2 linked regions of the Bombyx mori genome follow. The protein of the gene in region 1 interacts with the protein of each later gene in a biochemical or structural test. Links are inferred from orthologs where the notes say so. Each region holds a gene or a part of one and is shown in the gene's direction. Other genes may lie near its edges.

Region 1 (5,209 bases):
ACCCGTGGCCTGCAAACGGTGCTGCGCGAATGGTCGCCTCGTCCACCGCTTCGCTGTTCGCACCGTCGATCCCCGTGGCCAGGCCGTAAGAACACAAACACATTAATTTGATCAATTACTTTAAAAATCATGTTTAATATATTATACATATACCTAATGTTTTTTGTATGATTTAGGGTTTTGGCAGACCTCAGTCTCAAATGGTTAAGATTTGGCAGGATTGCTCTATACTACTTTTAATTATGCATGAAAAACCAGAACAAATAGTACTCATTCTTTGAGGGTTGCCTAGGCTTATTATCAATATAAAAGTATTACGTAGATACATCTTCCATTTCAAAAATCAATTTGTTTTTACATAAACTTGTAAATTATGGATAAGATAATCATCACACTCTGCTCTAACCAGAGAAGTGAGATTAATCAAAGGTTTACAATCAACAAATAATCTCTTTCACAACAGTATACTTCATGAACAATGCTGCTAATACTACAATTCATTGCTTAGCTAAAGATACCTATAATATGTATATGATATGCCACAATAGCTATTTATGAAAGGATTCAATTTTAAATCTTAGTTGAAAATGAAGAAAATGTATCTCGCACAGTATTGTTGGCTAAGCAAGAAAATGTTGCTTTAAGATATTTCAATCCAGCATCTTACTTCTAAATTCTCTCTTTCGGGACTGTAGAATTTCATTGACTTCAGTTTCATCTCAGCTTTAATGAATTGTCTGGCTGCAGAGATATAGTGCTCTGCTTCACCAAGGAAATTTCCCACCGAGGCCTCGCATTTCGCAGCGCCCACATAAGAATGCCCTGCAAACGTTGGCTGTTCAGAATGTTCACATTGTATCGCTAGTGCTATAAACTCATTTGTTGCTTCAGAAACATTTGGCTTCCGCATGAAACGCCTGAAAATTCAACGTAATTATATTTCATTTTTGCTTTAGATTGAACGCAAGTTGTAAATATTAGTCATAATATGTTAAAAAGTATGTTAAAAAAATATTTTCATTTTTAGTTTTTTAAAGCTATGAAATACATTATTTACAATAAGAAAAAATATATATTTACTTTTTCATTTTTGTATTGATGTTCATGTATTGTTCTGTGAAACTGGAGTTTAAATCAGTAGACATTGTCGATGTTGTACGTAATAATCAAAATAAATAATTAAAAAAACTGAGGGACTGTTTGTAAATTTGTAACGTTTAACTTTTTTCTGTTTTATTAGTCAATTAGGCAGACGAAGGGAATGTAGTCTATACAGGCATGCTTACTTTATCAAAGGTCAAAGAATGAAACAAAATATTAAATCAAATGGAATTGATGAAAATAAGTTAAGTAGGTAGTGCCTCTCAGGAAACTGGTTAAAATTAATTAAGAGTTCAATTAATGTTTTGGAAGAAGTCGAGAAGCCATGTCCAGCTATTAGTTTAGCTTTCATGATCATGAATATTTTAGTTAATACAATACCTATTCAAGCGTTACCCTTTTAGTTGGTACAATAATGAAATGTCGACGACCAACATTTTAGCCATCGTTTGAGGTTACGACCTCATGTTTCAGTGTGATTGATGACGTTCACGTCGTGATGTCTTTGGGGCCCGGCGAGTACCTAGGTATATACTTACGCAATACAAAACTTAGGAAATTTTGATAAAAATGAATATTTTGAATTTAGTAGGTTTTGAATTTGTCGTAGGAGAATTGTCTATAAGCATCTGGCAGCATTGCACCGGTCACCAACTGTCAAATTCGTTTGAAGGTTTGACGTGTCTTTTATTTATGGAAAGGACTTGAACATAATTTCACGAAAAATAACAAGTGATAAAACATGAGTTCTATTATAATTACTTTCTAGAGGTATAAAGTGTATAGCAACGCACGTAAAAAAAATGGATTTCCTCAAAAGCGGTATTAAGACTGTTCTGGGGTCTCCAGAGGTCGGCACTGCCGCACCGTCTCCAGCTGAAACGGTGATCATTTTATTAATAAGATTTCTAGAATAATAGTCTACTCTCGGGCTATTTATAGATACCAATCAAGTACTGTTCATGTAAACTAGACTTTTATAGCATCAAGCAATTTGAAAGATTTGAGATAAAATATAATTATTAAATTAATTTGTAAATTAATCAAAATCTTATCTCTCATGCACTCACAGACTAATACCACGCCTACGGAGCTACGTTTTGTACTGAACTGATGATCATTCCTTTAAGCCACCATAATTTCATATATTCAGCACTATTCACTATATCTTACTAGATGACATTCCAATCAAATAAATCTGAGGAGGCATTGTTTCCATGACTTGTGGGCAGGCCGTCAGCTATATGTTGTATATGAACACAAAGTATTTATATTCAGCAAATCAAGATCAGTTTTCGTTTTTAACTACCTCTGTAGATGTGTGATTACTACTATAGTTTACTTTATTTTTGGCTCAGAGAACAGTGCCCTTACATTTAGTAAAAACATCGGCTATCGTAATTAATAATGAGCATTTTTTATAATAAGCTTTCTTAATGAGCAGGTTGCAGAGAATTATCTGTCAATCTAAGAGCTACTAGATTTTGCAGAAAATAGTATTGAAATTGATTAAAAATAATAATATAGTGTCTTTGACAATAACCACATGAGGCTAAGCGGCCTGTCTGTGTACGTAGTGCAAAACAGAATAGTAAATGTGAGATTACACTGTAAAAGCTATTTTAATTAAACTGGCAGTAGGACCTCTTGTGAGCAATAAAAAGAGTATTTAAGCAATAAAAAATATATGTTTATGATTTGCAAAAACTGATGACAATACTATATCATGGTACAATTTTTAAAAATGTGATGTGACTTCAGACATTTTCAAGAGGCTGCAAGTTTGCAAATTTGGAATATATATAGCAATATGGAATAAAAACCACAATAAGAATATATTTTTTCTAGAAACCATAATACTTTTAATAGTAGTATACGGACCAAATGAAAAACTGTCTGGCTATTAACCAAAATATAAGACAGCAAAATAGCAAAGTCTCTGTAGGTAGATCAAGTCGTAAAGAATCTTGTTATTGAGGTTCATAACCTTAAAAAATATGCTAATTTTTAGTTTTACTAGTGCTTAGTAAGTATTACTGAATGTACTTATTTTTTTGCCTATAGCATTGTACTATAGCATAAAATATTTAAATATTTAACTAATAATGTTAACTTTAGGAGATTGTGTCTTGAAGCTAAGACTCCCACTCCATCAATTAAAATACAAAATTTGCAGGAAATGATAAGACATTATTTAACAATTGTAATTTTAATTTAACAAATTGTCTACTCATATGTTATTATAACTTGTCAAGCATAAAATTATTATAACTATTTATGCTGTTATCTTGACATGTATATGTACACATGTCAGTCTCTGCTACCCATAGCACAGGGAATCCTAATTTTAGGCAGAATGACCGCGCATGATTTGTTCACGGTTCCCAGTTAAGTAATTCATCAGTAAAGTTGAATTTTGGCAATTTGTATTTGTTTACATAATAATCTTTGGTTTGCTCTTTAAGGATTTACTATAATTTAAAATAGACTAATAGGTTAAGAAACGCAATAATGAAATACACGGCATTGGTGGGACAGGTCGAGCGACTAGTGGAGCGCGTTACGAATTCTACACTGCTTCAAGACCGCAGAGACAGCTGCCGTGCGCTCAAAGCACTCTCGCAGAACTACCGCATTGAAGTCGGTGCCCAGGCCATGGATGCTCTCCGTCAGGTTAGTACTGGTGTGTGGGTCATAAATCTCATTCTTGATTATTATTTAATAGCTACTTAAATTTCCCAGGTACTAGAATTAGACAGAGCAGACAATGAGACGATACACTACGCACTTGACACCCTTAAAAATATTATGTCTCCAACTCTTTTCAAAGTTGAAGAGGACAACCACCAAGTTCCTTGTAACATCGGGGAACAGTTCACTGAAATGTTCATTAAAGATCCACAGAATGTGCAGCTTGTGTTAGATCTTCTTGACGAATACGACTTTCGCGTGCGACTCTCAGCCGTACAGCTACTTACTTTCATGCTCACGAACAGGACCCGTGACATCCAAGAGATCATTCTAGTCAAACCAATGGGAGTATCCAAGATGATAGACCTCCTCGGAGACACCCGGGAAGTCGTAAGAAACGAAACATTGTTGCTTTTAATAAAACTGACAAAGGGCAATGCCAACATACAGAAAATAGTAGCGTTCGAGAATACATTCGACCGATTGTTTGAGATAATTGCGAGCGAAGGACACGCCGAGGGCGGTATCATCGTAGAAGACTGTCTGTTACTGATGTTGAATCTGCTGAAGAACAACAGCAGCAATGTGAACTTCTTCAAAGAGGGTAGCTACGTGCAGCGTCTGCTACCACTGCTGGCGACGCGCGACGACGAGGCCGAGGAGGCCGGGTGGGCGGCGCAGCGCGTGGCCAACGTGCAGGTCACGCTGCTGGTGGTGCGCGCTCTGGTGGGCGGGCAGGGCGCGGGCGCGGGCGGCTGTCGACGCGCGGTGCGGGCGGGCGGCGTGCTGGCGGCGCTGTGCGGCGTGCTCATGTCGAGCGGAGTGCCGGCCGCCGTGCTTGCCGACACCATCCTGGCGGTGGCCGACGCGGTGCGCGCCGAGCCCGAGTCGCAGGACTACCTCGCGCAGGTCACCGCGCCCTCCGACCCGCCTCGACCCACTCTTCTCGTCCTGCTCATGTGTATGCTCAACGAGAAACAGCCATTCCAACTTAGGTAAAGTTTTATAAACAATACACTTATCTTCAGTCAGACACTTGTTAGAGTGGTCGTGGTTGCGCTGACGATGTATATGCAGAAGCATCCATTAGGTCGCCCATGCTCTCGAGGACCGCCGTCCAAGCAATGCAGTTATAAACATTAATCAATAAATAAACAAACTTCTTCATGTGCTCAGGTAAAGTTGTTCCCAGTGAAAATGGTGCTAAAGCTTATGAACTCGCACACACGTTATCTACGCATATTTCTTTATGTGTAAATTTTATATGTATGTACGCTAAAATACGTCAGATGAAGCATTTCAAATATATAAAAAAATGGAGCCTAATAGTAATAATATTTGACGGGCAGATGTGCGGTGCTGTACTGTTTCGAGTGCTTCCTGTACCGGAACGAGAGCCAGCAGGCGGCGCTGGTGT
Region 2 (5,023 bases), on another chromosome or scaffold:
GCAATGTTTTTCATAATGTTTAAAACACTCGGTATTCAGTACAGGTAGATACTATAGGAACATAATATTTCGTCGAAAACTCGTTGGTATGTACAAAGCACGCATAAAATACGAACCCCGTACCCGATATCGGCAATTCGGCACACCTACTATTCATTAGACAATCGAGGCAATTTCATTAATTCAGGAGTTTTTTCAATCGTTCACTTTGTCACAACACTATTTTTATTTCATCAAAACCTGACAACACAGTAAACGTCAGTTTACTTCGTCTAATAAAAAATCCCACTATACAGAACATTTATTCATTAATTACAAACGTCATTCCTTGTGACTTCCTCTCTAAAATCACTTAATTATTAAATATTTACCGAATTTACAATAGTGTTTTATTCACTGCGGCATAAAACTATTTTATTTAAATAGTTCCGAAGAGATTTTGTCGGTAGCCTTTTTCCCGAAATATCTAAACAGAATGTCAATAATATGTTTTGATGACATATTTTAAAGAGGTATTTATAATTAGTGTCATGATCAATAGATTCCGACCGAAAAATGATTTTTCGGATGAGGGCTCCGTAATGAATTTAAATATATATAGATAATAGTTTTGGGGCATCGACTTTCTTGAGATCCTATAAAATACGTTTTAATTATTATTTTTGTATGTTTTAAGCATGATAAAATATGAAATTTTATATAAGCAATCATATTAAATCGCAACCCAAAACAGACGGCCGAACTGACGTGACAATGACATTTGGAGCGCTCAACATGGCGGATTTTCGGCCTCATTAGACATTTACGTATATTCATGTTTCATTTTATGTACGCACTGAAATACTGTTATATTATTTTCCTGCGAGTTAAAGTGCTGAGTAAGAACGAGATAGATATATGTTTATGTGTGTGCCTTCAAAATGGGTGCTATTTATATAAGCAATTGTACGTATAGTACAATATGTCGTGTCCCTACTATATAGGTCTATGATAATCTATGATAAAAGTGAACTATAAATGACAGCCCCAAACTAATGAACATTTTCCAAATAAGATATGACCTAAAGGTCTCTGTCACCACGTCATAAAATTAAAAAAAAAAACAAAAATGACAGCGACTTTTTGGCGGGAACGGAGGAGTGAAGTTGTGTGATTTGTTTTATTTTGTCTATTTGGTGTTTCTTCAGGTTTAAATGTGTAATAATGGTGGTTTATTAACTGTTTAGTATCTGTGAAAGTGCACAAATGTGGGAAAATGAAACAAAGCCGCCGGACGTCACTTCTCGGGATCCTCCAAAAAGTCCAACGAAAAAGTCTCAGTAAATGACCACCAATTTACTGAGATTATATTTCATCCCATATCATCTCATTTCATTTCATTTGATTTCATCCCAGTTGATTAATGTCTCAAATTAATCATCTTCATTTCATTTCATAATTTTTCATAAAAATAAGAGTATAAATTAAAATAAGACATGACTTAAAAGTCTTAGCTACCAGGTCATAAAATACCTAAAAAAAGAGAAAAAAAAATGACAGCGACTTTTTGGGGGGAACGTGAGGAGTGAAGTTGTGTGATTTGTTTTATTTTGTCTATTTAGTGTTTCTTCAGGTTTAAATGTGTAATAACGGTGGTTTATTAACTGTTTAATATCTGTGAAAGTGCACAAATGTGGTAAAATGAAACAAAGCCGCTGGACGTAACTTATCGGGATCCTCCAAAAAGTCCACTAAAAAAATTTCAGTAAATAACCACCATTTTACTGAGATTATATTTCATCCCATATCATCTCATCATGAATACTTGTATATTCAATTGTCCTTCGACATGTCCACCACCATTGTCAATACATTGACGGGCAAGTTTCATTAACTCGTTTTTAACGAGAGAAGTGCGCTTCTATGTCTTTTCACTTCGTCAAAAGCGTCCAATATGCGCTGTTTTAATTGTGCGAGCCTAACCGGCTCGCTTCTGTACACACATCTCTTAATTTCACTCCACAAAAGAAGTCCATGGGCGTGAGGTCAGGTGAGCGTGGAGGCCAAGCTACAGGCCCAATGCAGAAAATAATACATTTGCTTCGGTATTGTTCAGTATCCTGATGCAAAATGAAATCCTCGCTACATAATCAACGGTGGTTAATTCCTGAGATTTCCTGTAGTGATATGGATATAATCCGGCCTTATTAACAATCTTCCAGGCACAGGACTGGCTGTTGTTAAACCGTCGAGCAGTGTCATTTGTACTCCGTCGGGGATCCTCTTCAAAATACGCTAGTACATCGTCGTACAGATTTTGTCACAACGCCAGTCTTCCTCGTTCTTGACTATGTGACGGTGCGTGGAATGAACCGTGATCAAGCAAATGCTGGTAAGCATTTACCACGGTTCGCACATTTGGCTGTCGGGCGTTCGGGTACTCTTCCCTGTACATACGTACAGCTGCACTCGCGTTCGGGTATTCTTCCCTGTACATACGTACAGCTGCACTCGCATTTTCTCCACTCAAAAAGTACCCACGAAGCATAGCTACATACTCCCGTGATGTGAACTGATAAGCCATCGCATCAGGGAAAACTTAAACAAACAACTGTTGCAACGAAAAAAAGCATGCGCACACTTCCGCTAACAATTTAGTAGTGTTTAGGTTTTTGTCGTTATTGTTGAGTTGAGTTGACTTGAGTTTCCTGGAATTTATCAATGGAGCAGCGCCCCGTAGATACTAAAACCCTGCCGCACGTACTTTCGGTCATTGATTTAGTTATTTAGCATTTACCAATTATTACGTATTTTTATGGACAGTTCTGAGACTTCGTGTTTTTTTTATTTTTAACTACCATATAATATGATTAGTTAAAGATACTTAGAGCCCAGTTAATTTTTTTGTACTAATTTAAAAATAGTGGTGTATAGTTATAGGACCACGCGCCTGTTATGACAACAAATTTACTGAACATATAATTACGGTAACATTAAGGTTATTATGAGAATTAAATAACTCGCTTTTGGCCCCAAATTTAAAAACGACCCATTGATCATCACACGATATAATCTTTTGATACACACACACATGTTCGTTGGTGTCACTTCTTCGTCATTTAATTTAAATAGTTGGAAGTGAAGAGATCGACCTTCTCTATAGAAACATAAACACATTGTCATTAGTCTGCCAAAAATTGCTAAGACAAACAACTAGGTATACCCACATCAATTCTAACGAAGTGGTACAACAGTTAAATTAATATGCTTTTTGAGATTACATTGAAATGGCTGTTCCAGATGTTTGTATTGTGAAAATTTTGTTGAATATGTTTCAAATGACAGATGAAATTATTATTTTATTTCTATAGAATTTTTACGGCAACAATTTGTTGGCATGAAGAGAAACTAAAATCCATAAAAAGATGAAAATGAAACAGGACTGTAACCCAAAGAGTAAAAAAAGTAGATCTGAGATAAAAAAAAAATTAATTGTATTAATGCCGGCCACTGACATGCGCGCAAATATTCGTACATTGTACGAATGTTTGCGCGCATGTAAAGGGCCGTCAAACATTCATTCGCAAACCTAGCGGCTGTGCAAATGGGTTCGCATACTCAATTTGCGAACCCGTTTGCGCTTCCTCCTACACTTGTTTACGAATGTCTCACGAATTTCTCCTCCTTTTTAATTCGTCAATAGAACATTGAAAAGAAAAAGATTTTTGAATTCTTTCCCAGACATGATTAACAGCCATGCTGTTTTTATGGGATTTCTTTTGATGAAGATACGCTACACAGTAGACGTCACGAACTATGAAAACGGCGTTACCTTCGCAATCGTCGGCGCAACTGGGCAAGCGAATGTGTGGGAGACTACGCGAAGGTTCGAGGTTCGCGCGCTTTGATGTCTGTTAAAAAACCGACACAGCTTGGAAAACCACGAATGCAGCGAAAACTTTGCATAATCATTCGCAAATGTCGTCCTACACTTGCGGGTTTGCGTATTCGTGCGCATGTGAGTGACAGAGTGAGTAATGGACAAACTAAGCCAGAATAGTCTATGACTACCCCTACGTGTTAAGTGTATTATCTATGACTACGTGTCTGGAATCTATCGAGTGATTAAAAATAAAGGATTGTGGGTAGGTACCTACATACCTTATCTAAAAAATGGAATAGTGGGACTTGATAATTTAAAAGATAGATATATCATCGAGTTTTGAAAAGAATCGATGAGATGAAATGATAAATATTGTACACACATGAATGTACTATGAAAGTACGTAATTATTTGAACGCTATTGGTTTTCTAAGTAAGTATTGGAATGTAAAATTGTGAAATACTGCCTCAATTATGTAAATTGTAAGTTTTCATTTTCAAACAAAATATCCCCAATCATTAACAAGTAAAGCATATGTGTGGTGTAACAGTACTGTTTGACTTAATGTAATTTACTTATCAAACAAAGTTGACAACGTTTTTTCTGTAAAACTTTATAGGTGAAGACTGAAGACTACAATGCGATGCTTCCTCGAAGGCGAAATATAGGCGTTACAGAAAGACTCTTGGAAACAGAAACGGATTCATACAATAAATTAGATAAGAAAGGTGTTCATTACGGGGAATCGCGGCCTTACGAGAACTCATCAAATTCCAAATCAACATTGATTCTTAAATCATCTGACCAGGACGTGTTTAAATTTTTAGAAGAATTTGTTTTTGAACCAGTTATGGCTTCAAGAGATAGAACAAGTGAATTCATTTCAACTGTACGCAGTCTCCAAGGACGTTTCTTAAACAAACCAACCGTAAGAGATGATAGAAAAGCTGCTGTGTTGGAAACTTACTCCCAATTCATGAGTATGGCAAAAGTAATTAGTAAGAATATTACTAGTACATATACCAAATTGGAAAAGTTAGCCTTGTGTAAGTATTTTAAATGATTCAGGCATAAGTCCAATATGAAGTGTTATATTCTTTTCATTTATTGCTTTTATAAAATGTTAAATAAACATTTTTTTTTAATAAGATGTAAAAGAA

What was found.
Region 2: the proteins of general vesicular transport factor p115 (region 1) and syntaxin 5A form a complex in vitro, tested with the Homo sapiens proteins (2 studies listed by BioGRID). The link is inferred for Bombyx mori from reciprocal best matches to the Homo sapiens genes USO1 and STX5.

The regions. Positions count from the first base shown.
Region 1 is NC_085109.1:1,634,150-1,639,358, forward strand, and holds the start of general vesicular transport factor p115, read left to right. Parts: upstream 1-1,745; 5' UTR 1,746-1,904; coding exon 1,905-1,985; intron 1,986-3,639; coding exon 3,640-3,774; intron 3,775-3,843; coding exon 3,844-4,787; intron 4,788-5,141; coding exon 5,142-5,209. Other genes in the region: uncharacterized protein LOC101741560, read right to left, coding at 668-917, 1,081-1,145. UniProt on the Homo sapiens protein: General vesicular transport factor required for intercisternal transport in the Golgi stack; it is required for transcytotic fusion and/or subsequent binding of the vesicles to the target membrane.
Region 2 is NC_085118.1:10,688,022-10,693,044, reverse strand, and holds the start of syntaxin 5A, read left to right. Parts: upstream 1-1,545; 5' UTR 1,546-2,346; coding exon 2,347-2,371; intron 2,372-3,720; coding exon 3,721-3,872; intron 3,873-4,043; exon of another isoform or gene 4,044-4,255; coding exon of another isoform or gene 4,256-4,261; exon of another isoform or gene 4,262-4,295; intron 4,296-4,482; coding exon 4,483-4,909; intron 4,910-5,023. UniProt on the Homo sapiens protein: Mediates endoplasmic reticulum to Golgi transport.